Astyanax mexicanus: one gene and its partners. The protein of the gene in region 2 binds, or shares a complex with, the protein of the main gene of each other region. Links are inferred from orthologs where the notes say so. Each region holds a gene or a part of one and is shown on either strand. Other genes may lie near its edges. The genes, in order: ppil2, snrnp40 and rbmx2.

What was found.
Region 1: snrnp40 (region 2) and ppil2 share a complex: the UniProt entries of both Homo sapiens proteins name them as parts of the minor spliceosome. The link is inferred for Astyanax mexicanus from reciprocal best matches to the Homo sapiens genes SNRNP40 and PPIL2.
Region 3: snrnp40 (region 2) and rbmx2 share a complex: the UniProt entries of both Homo sapiens proteins name them as parts of the minor spliceosome. The link is inferred for Astyanax mexicanus from reciprocal best matches to the Homo sapiens genes SNRNP40 and RBMX2.

Annotation. Positions count from the first base shown.
Region 1 is NC_064429.1:31,212,830-31,216,587, forward strand, and holds the start of ppil2 (RING-type E3 ubiquitin-protein ligase PPIL2), read right to left. Parts: upstream 2,850-3,758; 5' UTR 2,702-2,849; coding exon 2,670-2,701; intron 1,667-2,669; coding exon 1,617-1,666; intron 1,523-1,616; coding exon 1,477-1,522; intron 914-1,476; coding exon 851-913; intron 1-850. UniProt on the Homo sapiens protein: Has a ubiquitin-protein ligase activity acting as an E3 ubiquitin protein ligase or as an ubiquitin-ubiquitin ligase promoting elongation of ubiquitin chains on substrates.
Region 2 is NC_064410.1:50,283,324-50,287,081, reverse strand, and holds the start of snrnp40 (U5 small nuclear ribonucleoprotein 40 kDa protein), read right to left. Parts: upstream 2,268-3,758; 5' UTR 2,134-2,267; coding exon 2,023-2,133; intron 462-2,022; coding exon 332-461; intron 1-331. UniProt on the Homo sapiens protein: Required for pre-mRNA splicing as component of the activated spliceosome. Component of the U5 small nuclear ribonucleoprotein (snRNP) complex and the U4/U6-U5 tri-snRNP complex, building blocks of the spliceosome.
Region 3 is NC_064424.1:17,118,923-17,122,680, forward strand, and holds the start of rbmx2 (RNA-binding motif protein, X-linked 2), read left to right. Parts: upstream 1-1,239; 5' UTR 1,240-1,322; coding exon 1,323-1,327; intron 1,328-2,327; coding exon 2,328-2,443; intron 2,444-3,468; coding exon 3,469-3,520; intron 3,521-3,628; coding exon 3,629-3,758. UniProt on the Homo sapiens protein: Involved in pre-mRNA splicing as component of the activated spliceosome. As a component of the minor spliceosome, involved in the splicing of U12-type introns in pre-mRNAs.

The DNA of each region.
Region 1 (3,758 bases), on a different chromosome or scaffold from region 2:
AGAATAGCAACAAAAATGCTATTTTTAGACCAGGCCTGCGGGCTACTCATAAGGTCCTTGCGGGCTACCTGGTGCCCGCGGGCACCATGTTGGTGACCCCTGCTCTACACACAAAGATATGGTGTAGAACCATTTAAACCATCAAAGAACCTTTCAGCTAAAACAGCATCAAACAGCATTTGTATTAAATTTGTCCTAAGATTAAAATCTTTGCTCAGAGAAAATAATAAAACCTTCAAATACAGATTTAAATACATAAGAATATGTTAAAATCCATAATGTTTCTATTGCACAAATAAAATCAACCTACATGAACCAAATCAGTAATTACACTAATTAGGGATGTACCAATGTGGGAAATTCTACGCTAATGCAAATATATGAAATTACACATTTATATATATATATATATATATATATATATATATATATATATATATTTATATTTATATATATATATATATATATATATATATATATATATATATATATATATTTATATATATATTTGTCGATGTCAAGGTACACATTTCTAAACTACAGAAAGACAACATACACCAGTATCACTTTATAACTTTAAAACTAATACAAATAAATGCAAACTAGCTAGTGCTAGTAGTGCAGCTAGTGACACTTGGTCCTTTTTTGCCATACAACAAATACATCAGCAAGTATTGTTTGAAATATCGTCCAAATTGTCTGATGCCAATGATTCTAAGAGATAATCAGCCGATAGCGATAAAATTCCAATATCATTGTGCATCCCTACTATTAACCCCTCAGGTGATCACCAGTATATGTGACCAGAGGACTGATACTGGGATTGTGATATTAGTGTACTTGTACTTACATGAGGTCAAAGACCACGCCTTCAGGGGTGCACATGGGATACTCAAAGGGCTGAAGAGACAAACTGAAAGAACACAAAGACCCAAACACAAGTGAGAACAGGAAACAATATATATATCCTGATTTAGACCCCACAGGATGAAAAGATATCAAATATAGCATAAAGTAATATAATATAAATTATTTTGTTCTAATACAGATCTTCCCCTAAAACGTGTTAATTCCTAGTGCAAAGACATTTGCAAAGCTTTATTACTAATAGACATGTCAATGCAAAATTTAAAATGCAAATTTATATACAGGCATATTTTGTATTTGTATAGTGGGGTTAGTTTATATAGAATCGAGGAATAGTGCTTAAGGTCAGGCTACTGGAGTGAAAAGCGACGGCTGGCTGCCTCTGAATAATTTACTGAAATGTCCTCTACTAGATTCTGCTGATCCGGTAGCCATGTGCATCCAAAAGCTATTCAGCCAAAAGCTATTCAGCAATAAATGACTGTAATTGTTAATAAAAGGACTGTAACTTTTAATAAAAGATCTGTAATTGTTAAGAAGTCTGATATCAAAAGTAGCAATAAATGAAACACACACACAAACACAGACACACCTATCTGTACAACTCACCTGCAGTGATCAAAGGGTAATCGTCTGAAATTAGCCTGTGGGATTTCTGCAGATAAAAGAAAGATCGCACTAAGTGTTAATAATAAAAAAAAAAAAGTAAAAAGGAAAAGAATGTATTGCCATGCTCCAAAAATACACACCTGCTTTCTTGCCTCCATAGAAATGTGTGTACTCTGCACAGGTGATGTACCTGAAAAATAGGAATAGTAGGAATAAAATGAGCAGCACTATTCACCACTCTTCATGAGTGAGCAGAAAGTCATATGTACCATTTATAACAAATAAACTTTGAGATTTAGACTGTAATTTGATTAGTTAAAGCTTAACACTGACATATTAAAAATCTAATTCTTACACATAAAATCAGGAAGGTCGTTGTTTATTGTCCACTAAACAGGCATAATCTCAATAATCTCTGATTAACTTAGTATTGTCCACTCAATTTGTTGACTTTATTAATATTTTAGCTTTTTTCAAAATAAATAACATCTTGCTTAAACAGCTGTGTCAATCAATCCATCATATTTATCAATTAATCAACATCTATTTTACACTGAGGGTGACCCTCGTTTTTAGCTGCCGAGCAAATAGATTAACAGGGATTGACAAGAAAAATAACAAACAAACAAACTAAACGCAACAACAACAAATACACAGCTAATGTACTCAAAGAAAAAGTTAGGTTGAAAAGATACATTCTGTTTTTTAAAGAAGCCAAATGAAAAAGAAAAGAAACTAAAGTGACGCTAAAACAAAATATTAAATAATATATATTTTAAATAATACAAATAATAACAATAATAATACCATTAAAAATAAATAGCAAATATAAACAAACAAGCATATAAACAAATTTGACAAAATATGAATTAAATATCAAGCCTATTGTCTGATTTAATATTTACTAAAACAGTTTATTTAATGATGTTTATCTAACGTTAAATTATTATAAATGATGCAGAGTAACGTTAAATTGAGAGAAAACAGATACAGTACTATCCTAGGAAAAGAGAAACATGGTTATATACATATTTTAACTAAGTTTCAGCTGTTTTATTAAATATTAAACTGAATCCTGATATTTATAGAGTTTTAAGAGTTCAGATTAACCCAGTTAGCTGTTAGGCTGAACCAGCGCAGCTAGTTTAATTCGATGAATAAAACGGATTTAATCCGGATTAATGCAGACTTACATCTTGTCCTTTTGGTGCTGCCGCTTCCCCATTGTTGTTTAATGTGTAAACAGCTCCCAAAGAGAATACACCGATAATTTACACCTAAAAACACACAGTTACAGCGCTATTAGCTTAGCTAACCTAGCTAACTGCTATAGCTACGGGTCCGGGCTAAGCGCTGTACTACAGTAACATTAGTCCGGGTTAAACACAGGAAGGCGCTTTTTGTGTCCCACTACCTTTTTGTGTTCTTTTAGGGTCCTTTGGAAATAAATAATAATATAACAATAAAAAGTCAATAATTAAATAAAAAAGTAAGTAATAACAATAATAATAATAATAATAATAATAATAATAATAATAATAATAATAATAATAAATACTATTATTATAAGCTCATGTTTGCCATCCAAATAATATTTATATTTTATTTTATTTAGCCATTTTTACTTCATTTTTACACATTTCAGAAGGTGTTTCTCTGGTTTGCCCAGTCCACCCCCATATATATATATATATATATATATATATATATATATATATATATATATATATATATATATATATATATATATATATATATCATTGTTCACTGTTCTGGATTATCGTTATTACTAATATTAGAGTACAATTGATTCTATTAAAATAATAATAACTATATATATTGTGAATGTGCTGTGTGTAAAGTGTGTAAATGCTGCATTAAAGAGTGCAGTAAAACCATCTGTTCCAATACTGCTTTACTATTATATAAAAAATAGTTCATAAACAGTGCCAGTCAGACGTTTTATTGTCTTCTCATTCACTGTGTGTTTTTCATTATTATAAATTTAATATTGAAGACCTAAAGATATGCAGGAGCACATTTTGAATTTTTCTTTAAACAAAAAAAAATCTTCCTATCACCAAAAAACAGAAAAAAAAATATTAATTTAAAAATGTTTGTAGTTCATATGATGTTGAGTTATCCATCCAGCAGGTGGCGCTATTACACTGTGGACAAAATTCACACTCCCTGCCTCTGCATTTCTATTGGCCCACATGTCCAACAGGCCTTTTGCCTTTAAATCATTGATTTATTAATTCATCAGCAAAGATTCATAGATA
Region 2 (3,758 bases):
AGCTTATTACAAGAAAATGTAATTAGCTAAACTATTAAACTTATGCAGAGGGGGTCAAACAGATATACACATTATGTTACAGTAATTGGGTCTTTTTGACTGAGACTAGCCCATAGCAGAATAAAACCAAAACTGACCATCTACAGTTGTTGTTTTTTTTTTTAAGAATTTTGACTATATTTAATTCTGAGGCTCTGACCCCATGAAATTAGCAAATTATAAGCACCATCATGTGGTTCTTTTACCATTATGGCTCACAGAAAGAAAGACAACACAATAATAAATTAACGCTCAGTGCATTTTCACAAACGTGCTCAGAGTATAGTCTTACAGATGAGGCGGTCATATCCTGCAGAAGCTAGCATGGCTCCATTGGGATGAAACTTGCAGCAGTAGACTTCTCCTTCATGTCCAGACAGCAACATTATAGGAGCCTGTAAACTGGAGCTGCGAGGAGGACCCTGACAAAATAATGCTTTGGTTAATATAAGGAAACAATTTTCAAACTGAGGCAAAGAATTGTTATAACAACTATTAACAAATTATTAACTAAAATAACACCAGTTATACAGATACTAACTTAGTTCCGAGTTTTACATACCAATAACAGTATTTAAGCTATTGTATTAAAGCTATTTAACACTGCACATATGTTGAATGCATTTTTACTGGCTATTAGAACTAAATTAGAGATATGTTTGAATAAACATATAATAAACGCTCTTTTTTATTGCAGTACATCATTTCAGGTTAATGATTGTTTTTCTATCTTAATTTTACAATCCTTCACTGGCATCGTTGAAATTCTGACATTGATTCAATGTTTATTTAGACTACCAGATACTGAAAGCAGAGGCTCATATACTTTTGCCACTCACAAATACAGCTCTGGAAAAAATTAAGAGAACACTTTAAAATAATCTGTTTCTCTGATTTAACTATTTATAGGTATATGTAGTTTCTATAAACTACGGACAACATTCTTCAAAATTCCAATTAAAAATATTGTAATTTAGTGCATTTATTTGCAGAAAATAAGAAATGGTCAAATTAACGATAAAGATGCCATGCTTTCAAACCTCAAATAATGCAAAGCTAAACAAGTTCGCCTTTATTTAGAAACAACAACAATACTAAAGTTTAATCTAAAGAAGAGTTCAGAACGAAGCAAGTTTTCTTCCAGGGTAACCTTGTATACGGCTTGAATCATGTGTCATTCACAAAAACCAAACTGCTCAATTCCATCCTTGCTGAAGCATCCCCAGATCATTAATGATTTTCTACCAAATGTCACAGTGGGTGCAAGCTGTGTCTTTTACATCTTTGCAGGTCTCCATCTAAACATTTGATGGCCATGTGTTGAGCAAATCTGAAAATTAGACTCATTAGAGAAGATGACCTTACTCCAGTCCTCTATAGACAAATTTGGAAACTTTAGCCTGGTTCTTTTTTTGCTTCTCATTGGAGAATGTACTTTTTCTAGCCCGCCTCTGAGAGATTGTTTTGAACTGTTCTTTCCATGCACTTCAACCCAGCTGCCATTTGCCATTCTTTTTATAGGTCACTTAATGTTATTCTGCGGTTGCTGACAGACATTCAAATAAGTTGACGGTCAATCTTCAGACCTGAAGTGGTCTCCTTTTTTCCCAGAGCTGTGTGTAATATTGGATAATTTTCCTAAATAAATAAATGGCAATGTATAATATGTTTAATATCTTTACCTACTTTAAGACTTGTTTGAAAATCTGATGATGTTTTAGGTCATATTTATGAATAAATACAGAACATTCGAAAGGGTTGTGCTCCAGGTGATAGGAATGGCTTTATTAGATTGATCTGTAGAGCTGATATTATTCCTAAACCAGTACATCATACCACATCTGAAACAAAAGTTTCTACTACAGAAATCTGGTGTGGTTACTCCAGACATACCACACTGTAGTGTACCTCATAATTGTACAGTGTTTTACAGTAATATCTCCCTGTCTGTGTTTTTTACCAGATTATCAGACTGTTAGTTACCATGGTGGCGATCTGCTGGTTCTGCGCTGCGGCCACCAGCTCGCTCCTCGGTCTCTTCACGGCGGCGGGAACCAGCGCCATGTCCGCGCCGCGCTTTTTCGGCTCGATCATGGTGTTTAGCGGCGGGGTCTCTCGGGGTGAGGCGGGGGTATGAGCTGGAGCCGGGGGTCGGGGTTCTCTGTATGAGTTTAAATTCAGCTGAACGGATCTCCTCACCGTCCACCATTAACACCACGCCGGGGTGAAATACAAACACTTCCGGTGATATCGGGGCGTTTGATTGGTCCGTTCATGTTTGCCGGCTCCTGATTGGCTGTTGGCCGTGCGGAGGCCCATTTGAACAGGAAGTTGTAAGCGGAGCAGAACAACAACACGAGCCCTGCACGAGTTTATTCAGTGTGTGTTACTGAAAGTATAGGCTGATTATTTGCTGACCTATTGGTTTATTTAAGTATTTTAACTGCATGAAATGCTTAATTTATCCTAAACTAAGATCTACCGACTTCATAAAAGCTCCTCCAGCCTTATTCTTCATCCACAAACCGGTTCCGTTCTCTCCCATCTGACCTGGATTCACCTGAAGAAAGCAGTAAGTTCAGCAACGTTTCCTTCTATTATTGGTTTATATATAATAGATGTTTATAATGGACAGTTCTTAAATTAAAATGTAATCTAAAATGTAGCATGCTTTTTTAAATGAAGAGCAGATAATTCAGTTCATAGTGACATAAGCTATGGAATTTTATTCTCTCTTATTTATAACTACATTTTAACTAGTAGAAATTGCAATACCAGATATCCACAGCAATTTATAGTAGTGAAAACTGTATAACCGTGTTATTGCTAGTTAAAACTCGAATAAATAATATCTAAAACTTTAACACTGCATACACAGGTCCTTCTCAAAAAATTAGCATATTGTGATAAAGTTCATTATTTTCTGTAATGTATATATTTTAGATTCATTACACACAACTGAAGTAGTTCAAGCCTTTTATTGTTTTAATATTGATGATTTTGGCAAAAAAGTAAAAAAAAAAAAAAAAAATCTCAAAGAATTAGCATATTTCATCCAACCAATAAAAGAAGTGTTTTTAATACAAAAAAGTCAACCTTCAAATAATTTTGTTCAGTTATGCACTCAATTCTTGGTCGGGAATCCTTTTGCAGAAATGACTGCTTGAATGCGGCGTGGCATGAAAGCAATCAGCCTGTGGCACTGCTGAAGTGTTATGGAGGCCCAGGATGCTTCGATAGCGGCCTTAAGCTCATCCAAAATGTTGGGTCTTGCGTCTCTCAACTTTCTCTTCACTATATCCCACAGATTCTCTATGGGGTTCAGGTCAGGAGAGTTGGCAGGCCAATTGAGCACAGTAATACCATGGTCAGTAAACCATTTACCAGTGGTTTTGGCACTGTGTGCAGGTGCAAGGTCATGCTGAAAAATGAAATCTTCATCTCCATAAAGCTTTTCAGCAGACGGAAGCATGAAGTGCTCCAAAATCTCCTAATAGCTGGCTGCATTGACCCTGCCCTTCATAAAACACAGTGGACCAACACCAGCAGCTGACATGGCACCCCAGACCAACACTGACTGTAGGTACTTGACACTGGACTTCAGGCATTTTGGTATTTCCTTCTCCCCAGTCTTCCTCCAGACTCTGGCACCTTGATTTCTGAATGACATGCAAAAATTGAGCAACAGTCCAGTGCTGCTTCTCTGTAGCCCAGGTCAG
Region 3 (3,758 bases), on a different chromosome or scaffold from region 2:
TGCCACCACAAACTCGTATTTACCGGTGGGAAACTTACATTTTTATGCTGCCTTTCCAAGTCCTCCTTGGAAAGTCCTATTTACGAGGTTTGAGGTCATAATTATGGCTTAACATGCGTTCAAGTGTTTTTTTTGGTTGAGTGGAAATGGACGCCATTACGAAAATTATTTTGTTTGTACTGTTGGTCTATTATCGTCAAAAAAAAAAAAAAAAAAACAAGAGAATAAAGTGAATACGACAAGCATTAGGTGAGTGATGTTTTTATCCCATTAGTAGAACTGTGAATCATACTAGACTTTTACGTTTTTTTTTCATGCATTGCTACTGATTTTATTAGTTAGCTATTCACAAGTTTTTACTGTTTAATGTAGGAGTAGGGTCCATACTGGTAGCCACCATGACCTTTTGTTACTTTGTTCCCCAACTGGGAAACTCTGGGCTTATCTGAAAACCCAAGTTCCCCACTGGTAAATACGAGTTTGTGGTGGTGTTCATGTGCTCTCATCTCGTAAATATGATATTTCCGACACAACTTAAATCCAACCTGAGATAAGCCCTGAGTTTCCCAGTTGGGGGCGTGTCAGTATAAAGAGGTCATGGCGGCTCCTACAGTAAGCGGTAAAAACTTGAGCTTATTAGCAATGGTTTTAAGCTGTACAATTTTAAAACAAACCAAAAAAAAAGGTTTAAAACATAAGTCCAGTATAATTCACGGTACTAATGGGATACAACATCACTCACCTAATGCGTGTCTAATTTACTTAATTCTCTTGGAGTAGGGCAAAATATATCTCCTGTTTTTTATGATAATAGACCAAAAGTACAAACAAAATGATTTTCCTAATGGCGTCCATTTCCACCCGACCGAAAAAACCCAACCTCGTAAGTAGCAATATCCGAGGAAGTCTTGAAGGCAGCAATATCTATTTTCTGATAAAACCGACACCACAAAAATGAAGCATTCTAAATTCTATAGGTTCATTGGTCCATTTATCACAATATAAAAACAAATTCATGCCTAATCTAACGTTCTTACAATGGAAATAATGATGTTTTTCAATGAAAACACCAAAAAAATTAATATAAAATGATTAAACAATTCCTCTATTCCACCAATAATCATTATATCGATAATACAGCGATATCTACTATATCACTTTTACCTGTGGGGAAATCCAGCGTTTAATTTCACTGTAACTGTATTCAGCGACCGTCAGTGGACTTCAACTCCCACAATCCTCCTGGTTCCCCAGCGGAAGAAAACTCTGAGTCCTCGACGTTTTGAAAACCACTTCCATGTGTGGAGCTAAACAGAGATACAATGAAGTAAGTTAGTGCGTTATTTCCCCTCTCTTCATGCTATAATTCATTATATCTGCCTATGTTTTCATAGCGCAAGTGAGACTTTTAATACTAGGTCAGTTATTTAGCTAGCGTTAGTTATTACAGTCTTACTAAGGAGTGCAGAGTACAGAGTGAGCTGGGAATGCTAGGTTAGCTAAGCTAGCTGTTAGCTCACTTTACCTCAGTAGCCTCAGTTGTTTGGGGCTCTGACTCTACACTTACAATGCTTTTAGGCGAAGTGTACCCCTTTAATAATAATAATAATTACTATTATTATTTAATTGTCATTTTCTGGAATGTAGGAGCACAGTAAAAGCTATAAGAATAGAACACAAACATTGATATTCTGTACCAGTCAAAGCCTGGACACACCTCTTCTCTTTTAACCGGTTTTCTTTCTTTTTATATATTCTGAATTTAATATTGAGGACAGTAAAGTTATACAGGAACACAGGAGGAATGATGTTGCAGATCTTGGTATTTTTTCAGTGTCTTTATGAGGTAGAGTCATCAAAATTTTCTCAGCGTCTTGAAGGAGTTCCTGGAGGACTAACCTATATCTGCCTAAGTAAATTATTAAACTAATAAATAAAAGCAAATAAAGAAAGAAATTACGAAAGAATCAATAAAAAAGTTTAAAACAAACAATTCAGTTAATACATTCAGTATATAAATTAGTGAATAATATTTGTATTTTCCTACTTTGCATTTTTTTTATTTCTACATTTTTATTTTCTTCTTTCGATTTATTTCTGTTTTATTTTTGATATTATTTGAAAATATTGTACAATACACCCCTCTTTGTTACCATATGTAGGAACAAATACATACATAAATAACTGAATACATGAAAAAAGTATGAATAAATAAATTAAATAAGTTAAAAATGTACAAATATAGAAATATACAGAAAATCAACACGAGAATTAAGTCATCTGTGAAATTAGCAGTTAATCACAACCTCCTTGCTTTTGTTCTGCAGTCCACTTACCAAAGTGAAGCTCATCAATGAATTGAATGAGAGAGAAGCTAAACTTGGAGTTAAAGACGCAGTATCGTGGCATTCAGTGTACAAGGACAGTGCCTGGATTTTCATTGGTGAGTGACTTAATTGTGGAAACTAACTTTTTAAATTTTTATAAAATTTAAACATTCATTTTTACATGATAGTCTAAAGGTTTAGCACACTTCTCTTACATAAATTCAATAGAAAAGATTAGAAATTAAAATGGGACGCTTAGTAGCTGCTGTGCACAAGTTTGAGGTTGCTATGCCCAGTGCAAGTCTTTGTCTGTGGGGAGCCAGAATTTTAGGACCTCCATGAATGCTCTAAATTTTTTAAGCAAGGTTTTAGCATCTAAACTAAAGCCTTACCAACTGAGCAGAGCAGAGTCTTTCACTGAGGTCAAGTGGGAACAAGCTACTTTTTTCCACAAAAAAAAAAAAAAAAAAGACATTGGACCTTCAGTTACCTTTACTTTATTAATCTGTTGGCTTTACTGTATCTCAGCAGATTTAACAATATATTTAATAGTAAATATGGATGTTGCTTTTTTGGTTATATTGCAGTTGTGTGGTTTTGTTATTGATTATTCTGCCATTTTTGTTCTGCCAGATGGTGGCGGCAGTTGTCTAATTCTGGAAACAGTTCAGTTACAATAGGAGAACATACTTTAAAGCTGGTTTTCTAATTTAGCCAGGTAACCTGGGTTAAAAGTGGCCACTGGTAGGGCTCTGTAAAATTTGTTTTATTTTTGTCTTTTTGACTTCTCTCTCGGTAAGCCAGTTAACATGGGTCAAAACTACCAGTAGTACTATCCGTTAGTAGGGATCTGTAAAATCTATTTAGATTTTTAAAGGTTTACTTAATTTTTACTTTTCACATCTGGAATCTACAATCTGGTTTTAAGCCTCAAGTTCCAAGATTCTGTTTCTGTGTTCTCTGCATTGTGGTAATCATGGGGCTCTACACTAGTATTGTTTCTCAGTTCATCTCATGTTAGAAAGTTCAGCACTTCTGTGTTTCTAACATAAACAAAAACGCTTAATCTGTTCGGTGAATTAATTTGACAGAAACATGTTGACCCGTGCTGCTGTTTTCCTGATTGTACTGTACCCTGCAGGTGGATTTCCATATGAGCTGACAGAGGGAGATGTCATCTGTATTTTCTCACAGTAAGTAAATTTGGCTTACTTTTGCACTGTTTTACACATTCAGACTTGTTTAACACTCATTTTCTGTTTGTTTAGATTTTTAAGATCTCTCTTTTTTTTGTCCATCAGGTATGGAGAAATTGCAAATATTAACTTGGTGCGAGATAAGAAGACGGGAAAATCCAAAGGCTTTTGCTTCCTTTGCTATGAGGATCAAAGAAGCACCATCCTGGCAGTGGATAACTTTAATGGCATAAAG